Linked DNA regions of Macaca fascicularis. The main gene of each other region encodes a partner of the protein of the gene in region 2 in a complex. Links are inferred from orthologs where the notes say so. Each region holds a gene or a part of one and is shown on either strand. Other genes may lie near its edges.

Evidence for each region. The genes of interacting proteins can lie anywhere in the genome.
Region 1: NDUFAF1 (region 2) and TMEM126B share a complex: the UniProt entries of both Homo sapiens proteins name them as parts of the mitochondrial complex. The link is inferred for Macaca fascicularis from reciprocal best matches to the Homo sapiens genes NDUFAF1 and TMEM126B.

The regions. Positions count from the first base shown.
Region 1 is NC_088388.1:84,670,051-84,673,798, forward strand, and holds the start of TMEM126B (complex I assembly factor TMEM126B, mitochondrial), read left to right. Parts: upstream 1-1,274; 5' UTR 1,275-1,285; coding exon 1,286-1,366; intron 1,367-2,314; coding exon of another isoform or gene 2,315-2,359; intron 2,360-2,558; exon of another isoform or gene 2,559-3,325; coding exon 3,326-3,514; intron 3,515-3,748. UniProt on the Homo sapiens protein: As part of the MCIA complex, involved in the assembly of the mitochondrial complex I. Participates in constructing the membrane arm of complex I.
Region 2 is NC_088381.1:17,945,468-17,949,115, reverse strand, and holds part of NDUFAF1 (complex I intermediate-associated protein 30, mitochondrial), read left to right. Parts: intron 1-1,800; 5' UTR 1,801-1,881; coding exon 1,882-2,454; intron 2,455-3,648. UniProt on the Homo sapiens protein: As part of the MCIA complex, involved in the assembly of the mitochondrial complex I.

The DNA of each region.
Region 1 (3,748 bases), on a different chromosome or scaffold from region 2:
TTCTGATCCTCCCATGTATTAACAGAGAGGATTGAAAAAAAAGGAAAGCAATCCCTTGGCATGGAGACATTAAAGTGACAGTGCTACTCAATGGGCACTTGATGCAGGATGAGTTGGCGAAGCAGATTTCTTCACACTGGAGTCATTCACATCATGCCATCTCTTCGCATCCAAGCAGCTCCCTATCCGGCGAGGAAAAACACTGAGACTTCGAGAGAAGCCAAACCTTCCCCCAAAGGTGTTTTCAGAGACGCCGTAGTAGTATTAGACATGTAAGCATAAGCTATGCAAACGGTCCGCGATTTCCTCAAAATGAAAAAGTGCAGCTGCTTGGCTTTCACATCCACATCCTTTTCTCTCAATCTCTCTTCAAACTACCCACCTTCCTTTTGCAGAAAAGACAAGACATTTCTCTGCCACCGCTGGCCACCCCTGCCCAAGCCCCGTTCTTTTAGGGAAGAGCACTGAAATGTCCTGCACCCTCCACGCGGTGAAGTGTTTCTTCAGGCAGGAGCAACAGCAGCACTAGAAATTATATAACTCTCGAATTTGGCTTCTCTAAGACACGGAGACTGGAGGGTCGGGGGTTGCCGGTCTGGGAGATACTGCTGGGCATTTAACGTGCACAAAACAGCGCCAGGCCTTGCAGTGCCCCCCACCCTGAGACACGACTGACAAGTGGGTCTTCTCGGGGGGTAGTGGGCAAATTTCTCTCCTGTCTCCTTCCAAGCGGGGCTAAAGGATGGAAATTGAGGGGACTACAGACTGGGGAGAGGAGTCAGACGGCTGAGAGGAGAGGAGGCTAGTCGGGGCTGCTCTGACGGCGCTGGGCGGCTGGTTGGGGGTTTGGAGGAGGAGGTGCCCGAGAAACAGAGCTTTAACACCACACGGGCCAGGGCAAAGGGGCGAGTTCCCTCAAGGACTGAAAGGGGCAGGCAGCTAGTTCCCAGCTACCAGAGGTGCCCTGAGGAGAGGCAGGAGCGCAGTAACATTCCAACATTTGGGCCGCCCCATCCTCCCCACAAGACGCGAGGAAAACAGGGAGCTAAACTGACAAATAGCAAGGGAAGGAAATACTCTGCTGGCGATGGGGGCGGACCCACAGGCACCTGGACCTCCTCTAAGCGAATAAGTGGCCGTAATTTCTAGACACCGCGCCCAATCACAGACAGGATGGAGGGCGCGGCTTTTGACTGAGGGGGGCGGGCCCGGGCTGCAAGCGAGAGGCATGAGCCGTAAACCCGCACCACTTCCCGCCCACCAGCAAATCACGTGAGCCATCAAAATGGCGGTGTTCGGGTATGAGGCTGGGGCCAAGCTGAGGGATTCAGGTGTGGTGCCGGTGGTAACTGAGGAAGCGCCCAAGGTAGGCGGAAATCCGAAGTGGTATGGGGGGTGATTTCTGCAGCTTCAAAGTGTTGGCAGAGTCTTCCAAGATGATACACTTAAAGGAGATTTGAAAAGTTAAAACAGCCCCCAAGTCCATGCAAGGAGCAGTCGATTAAGTCTCCAGCTGTTGTGGAAAGAGGCGGAGAGAACGTAGATTACCTAAGTTCTAGTACTCATTATCTGCGGTTTGTTTTCTCTTGTCTCCAGGCCTTTGCACAGGCTTTTTCTTCAACTTGGAATATTTCCCTGCTTCTATCCGTCCCAACTCCCCTGCCAAATTGTTCTCTTTCGGATATTGGTTTAAATGTCACTTCCTCCGGGAAGCCTTCCCACGCCTCCTCTGGCTAGATTAAGTTTGCCTTTTCTTAGGTTGTTGGGTTTTTCGTTTATGTCACTCTCTCATTCTGTGTTTAAATTGCCAGCATTTTTGTTCTGAACTCCCACTACATTGTGGATTCCTGAGGATGGGATGACTGTATCTTGATTACTCGGAGGCCTGGCATATACCAGGTGCTCCCTAAATTATGAGAGAATACTGAATAAAATTCTAAAGTTGAAATTTATTATTAGGTGAAAAATGTATTATTAGGTGAAATAATACACATGAAAGCACTACAAAACCGTCAAATGATTTGCAAACTATAAGCCACTCTTACTGGTATAAGCGTGGTGACTAGTTGAGTGGCCTTAAGAGGGGAGGGGTGTAATGAAAGCAGTCGATTCTTTGACAGTGCCTTGCAAAGCTTAAGCACTCAATAATATTTCCTGTGTTCTTTTCAGTATTTCAGTATTTGCTATCCTGTAATCATAATCCTGGGTGTCTGCTTTCCCTATAGAGAGTTTAGGGTGTAGACTAGGTAGGAGATTAGTAGAAGATATTGCCTGGAAGTTTATTTTGTTTTTTGTTTTTGGTGGAAGGTGGAAGGTGGAGGACTTCAGTGAACTGGATGAGAGCAAAACAAAACTTTATGTAAGGTTTATGGTTACTCATGTTATTGACATCTGCCATCTTAGTACAATAGATGGGTTAGGTATAGAACCTCCCTTAGATGTTACTATCCCTTATACTTTCCATTTGGGTGTCCAGGAGAGGAAAAAGATGTAAGTCTAGTCACTGAAAAATTGTAATTTGTAAAATATTTTACTTTTTTTCCCCCTGCCCTCTCCAGAAATGTTACAGAAAAAGATTGAGTACAATTCTGCGATGATGCAGAGAAAGAAATTGGTCCATTATTACTCGTTGTGTAATGCCATAAGAAGGTTCAAAGGAGCTCATAACTTACGTATGTTGATGCCAGGAGCCGTGTATAATCAACTGGCCCTTCTATAGTTAGGATTGGTACATACCGCTCATTCAGCAAATGAGTATTACGGTAATATTCAATATGTGTCCATTGACTACAGCATCAAAAGCACTTGGTGCTATTAAAATGCAGATTCTAGGCCTCATCCTACTCCTGCTGAATCCAGATATCTCAGGAGGGAGTTCATGAGACTGCATTTCAAATAAATACCCCATGTGATTCTTGTGCATGCTGAAGGTTGAGAACCACTGATTTATGAAGTATTTTGTGTATTCATTATGCTTTATCCCGTCTAATCCTCTTGTCTAGGACTCCTTAACTTTGAGATTTAGTATTTGCCTTCAATATAAACGTTAAAATTGAGATTAGTGTACATTTGTAAAGAGGCTATTTGGCTAATCTGGAGGAAAAAGAGTAAAAAGCAGTGAATTTAGCGGCAATAGACTTTCCACTTGGCTGCTGTAGTAGGTAAACATTTGCAACTACATGTTTGGATTTAACAAATGTTATTAAGATTTTTCACAGAAACTAGAGTCTTGCCCAGAGCAAAACATTCAGAAAGGATCCTGTCTGAGAGTGCAGGGTTTGTTTTCTTGTTGTTGTTGATTTGTTTTGTTTTTTAATCTCTCTAGTTTCTGTTAAGATGCTACTGGCCAAGTCTTCATGGTCCCTTGACATTGGCAGCTGTCTGTTCATCACACTTGGGACACAAGAACCTTCCAACCAAGGAGCCCAGTGCTTTGGGTCTCTGGGGCCCGGCGCGGTGGCTCATGCCTTTAATCCCAGCACTTTGGGAGGCCGAGGCAGGCAGATCACTTGAGGTCAGGAGTTCGAGACCAGCCTGGCTAACATAGTGAAACCCCATCTCTAGTAAAAATACAAAAATTAGCCAGGTGTGGTGGCAGGTGTGGGTCTCTGCTATACTACATAATCATTTCTAGCAAAGGCTCTGCTTCCACCACAGCTGGTAATAGGGAACTGGTTATGTAATTTATGTACTTCAAAGTAGTAGCCACAATCTACTGCCTGTTCCCTTCCTGGAGCAGTGTCCCTCT
Region 2 (3,648 bases):
CTAATTGTTTGTATTTTCTGTAGGGGTTTCACCATGTTGGTCAGGCTGGTCTTGAACTCCTGACCTCAGGTGGTCTGCCTGCCTTGGCCTCCCAAAGTGTTGGGATTACAGCCATGAGCCAGCACACTGGGCCAATTTCTGTATTTTTAGTGGAGATGGGGTTTTACCATGTTGGGCAGGCTGGTCTCCAACTCCTGACAAGTCATCTGCCTGCCTCAGATTCTCGGAGTGCTGGGATTACAGGTGTGAGCCACCGTGGTGGGCTACAATTTTTTTTTTTTTTTTTGAGATGGAGTTTCACTCTTGTTGCCTAGGCTGGAGTGCAATGGTGTGATCTCAGCTCATTGCAACCTCTGCCTCCTGGGTACAAGTGATTCTCCTGCCTCAGCCTCCCCAGTAGCTGGGATTACAGGCGCTCTCCACAACGCCCAACTCATTTTTGTATTTTTAGTAGAGATGGGGTTTCACCAGGTTGGCCAGGCTGGTCTTGAACTCCTGACCTCAAGTGATCTGCCCACCTTGGACTCCCAAAGTGCTGGGATTATAGGCGTGAGCCACCGCGCCTGGCCAACATTTTTTTAAAAAATTAGCTGGGCATGGTGGTGTGCACCTGTTGTCTCAGTTACCTTGGAGGCTGAGGTGGGAGGATCATTTCAGCCCAGGGCCCAGGAGTTCAGGGATACAATGAGCTATTGATCTTGCCACAGCGTGGCAGCCTGGGTGACAGAGCAAGACCCTGTCTCTCTCTCTTTTTTTTTTTTTTCACATGGAATTTTGCTCTTGTTGTCCAGGCTGGAGTGCAGTGGTGCGATCTCGGCTTACTGCAACCTCTGCCTCCCGGGTTCAAGTGATTCTCTTGCCTAAGGCTCCCGAGTAGCTGGGATTATAGGCGTCTGCCACCACGCCTGGATTATTTTTAGTAGAGATGGGGTTTCACCATGTTGTCAAGGCTGGTCTTGAACTCCTGACCTCAGGTGATCCATCCGCCTCGGCCTCCCAAAGTGTAGAGATTACAGGCGTGAGCCACCGCACCCGGCCTGACCCACTCTTTTGTGAAAAGAGAAAAAAAAAAAAAGATCGGGGATGGTGCGTCATTCCTGCAACCCAGCACTTTGGGAAGCTGAGGGGAGAATCACTGGATCCCAGGAGTTCAAAACCATCATGGGCAACACAGGGAGATCCATTTCTTTTTCTTTTCTTTTTTTTTTTGGGGGGACAAAGTCTCACTCTGTTGCCAGGCTGGAGTGTGCAGTGGCACGATCTTGGCTTACTGCAACCTCCTCCTCCCAGGTTCAAGAAATTCTCCTGCCCCAGCCTCCTTAGTAGCTGGGATTACAGGCACGCACCACCAGCTAATTTTTGTGTTTTTAGTAGAGACAGGGTTTCACCATGTTGGCCAGGATGGTCTTGATCTCTTGACCTCGTGATCTACCCGCGTCAGCCTCCCAAAGTGCTGGGATTACAAGTGTGAGCCACTGCGCCTGGACAGGGAGATCCATTTCTACAAAAAATTTAAAAATTAGGTGGGTGTGGTGGTGTGTGCTTGTAATCCCAGCTACTTGGGAGGCTGAGATGGGAGGATCACTTCAGAAAGTAGAGAGGCTAAAATGAGCTGTGATTGTGCCACTGCACTCCAGCCTGGGCCACAGAGAAAGACCTTGTCTCAAATAATAATGATAATAATAATAATAATAAACAAAATAAGTTAACAAATTTCAAAATACCTGATTTCTGTTGAATTTGAAATTGTGATACGTTCATTGCTATACTGATAATTCTTCAATGTGTCTTCTGTTACAGGTAGAATTGGGCTATTTGCTGAAGCTTCTTCGTAGCCCTTGGTAGCCCAGGAAGAAACTTATGTTTTGATTTTTTTGTACCATGGCTTTGTTTCACAAAGTGCTGCGTGGTACTTATATTCTCAGAAAATGCTCTAAGCCAACTTCTGCCTTGCATCCACTTTTGAGTATTCGCTTTGCAGACTATTCCAGTAGTCTTCAGAAACCAGTGGCTTCTCCTGGCAAAGCCTCCTCACAGAGGAAGACTGAAGGGGGTTTGCAAGGACATCACCAGAAAGAAGTTGCTTTGGATATAACTTGTCCTGAGGAGAAACCTGATGTTAGTTTCGATAAAGCAATTAGAGATGAAGCAATGGACCATTTTAGGCGTTTGAAGGATGAAATTGTGAATCATTGGAAGGGACCGGAAGGCCGCCCTCTGCAAGAGGCCTTGCTGGAACAAGCCAAGGTTGTCTGGCAGTTCCGCGGGAAAGAAGATTTGGATAAGTGGAGAGTGACTTCTGATAAGACGATTGGAGGCAGAAGTGAAGTGTTTTTGAAAATGGGCAAGAATAACCAAAGTGCACTGCTCTATGGAACTCTGAGCTCTGAGGCACCTCAGGACGGGGAGTCTGCCCGCAGTGGGTACTGTGCAATGATATCCAGGATTCCAAGGGTAGGTGAGGCCCAGGCGGCATCATTTTCTAGTGAACAGGGGTGAACTTCATTGTAGCATAAACTATAGAAGATAGCTTTTGTGGCCGGGCGCGGTGGCTCACGCCTGTAATCCCAGCACTTTGGGAGGCCGAGGCGGGCGGATCACAAGGTCAGGAGATGGAGACCACGGTGAAACCCCGTCTCTACTAAAAATACAAAAAAATTAGCCGGGCGCGGTTGTGGGCACCTGTAGTCCCAGCTACTCGGGAGGCTGAGGCAGGAGAATGGCGTGAACCCGGGAGGCGGAGCTTGCAGTGAGCCGAGATCGCGCCACTGCACTCCAGCCTGGGCGACAGAGCAAGACTCCGTCTCAAAAAAAAAAAAAAAGAAGATAGCTTTTGTTTCTATAAATGAAAACACCTGGCATGTTATATTTGGCGCCTCACCTGTGTTTGGAGATAAGTATTGGCACAAGTGTAAAGTGGAAGCACAAGGGGGAAGTGGTTTCTGAGGAGGAGGAGTTACTTGTTTCTGGGCATTGCTTTGGGCCAGGAACCAGCATTGTTATGTTTCAGGAATCCTGAGCGGTTAGACATTTGAAAGATTTTTGGAGAGATTTTCATCTCCTCTAACAAAGACCACAGCCTCTGTAATGGCCGGGGGTTTTATAGAGTTGATGTAGGGTCAGCCTGTGGCTTTCTTTTTTTTTTGTTTTGAAACGGAGTCTTGCTCTGTCACCCAGGCTGGAGTGCAGTGGCATGATCTTGGCTGACTGCAACTTCTGCTCTCCAGGTTCAAGTGATTCTCCTGCCTCAGCCTCCTGAGTAGCTGGGACTACTGGTGCATGCCACCATGCCTGGCTAATTTTTTGTATTTGTAGTACAGACAGGGTTTCACCATGTTGGCCAGGCTGGTCTTGAACTCCTGACCTCGGGTGATCCACGCCCCCCCCGGCTTGGCCTCCCAGAGTGCTGGGATTACAGGTGTGAGCCACTGTGCCTGGCCCAAATATTCATTTTGGAATAATGAAAATAGTAGATAACATTTATTAAGCGTGACGTGCCAGTCCTTGTGCTAAGCACTTTATATTATCCCATTTATTCCTCACAACAGTCTCCTGAGGTAAGATCATCCCAGGTTTATGGATGAGGAAACAGAGTTGGATAGATTTAGTAACTTGTCCAAAGTTACACGGATAATAAATATTAGTTTA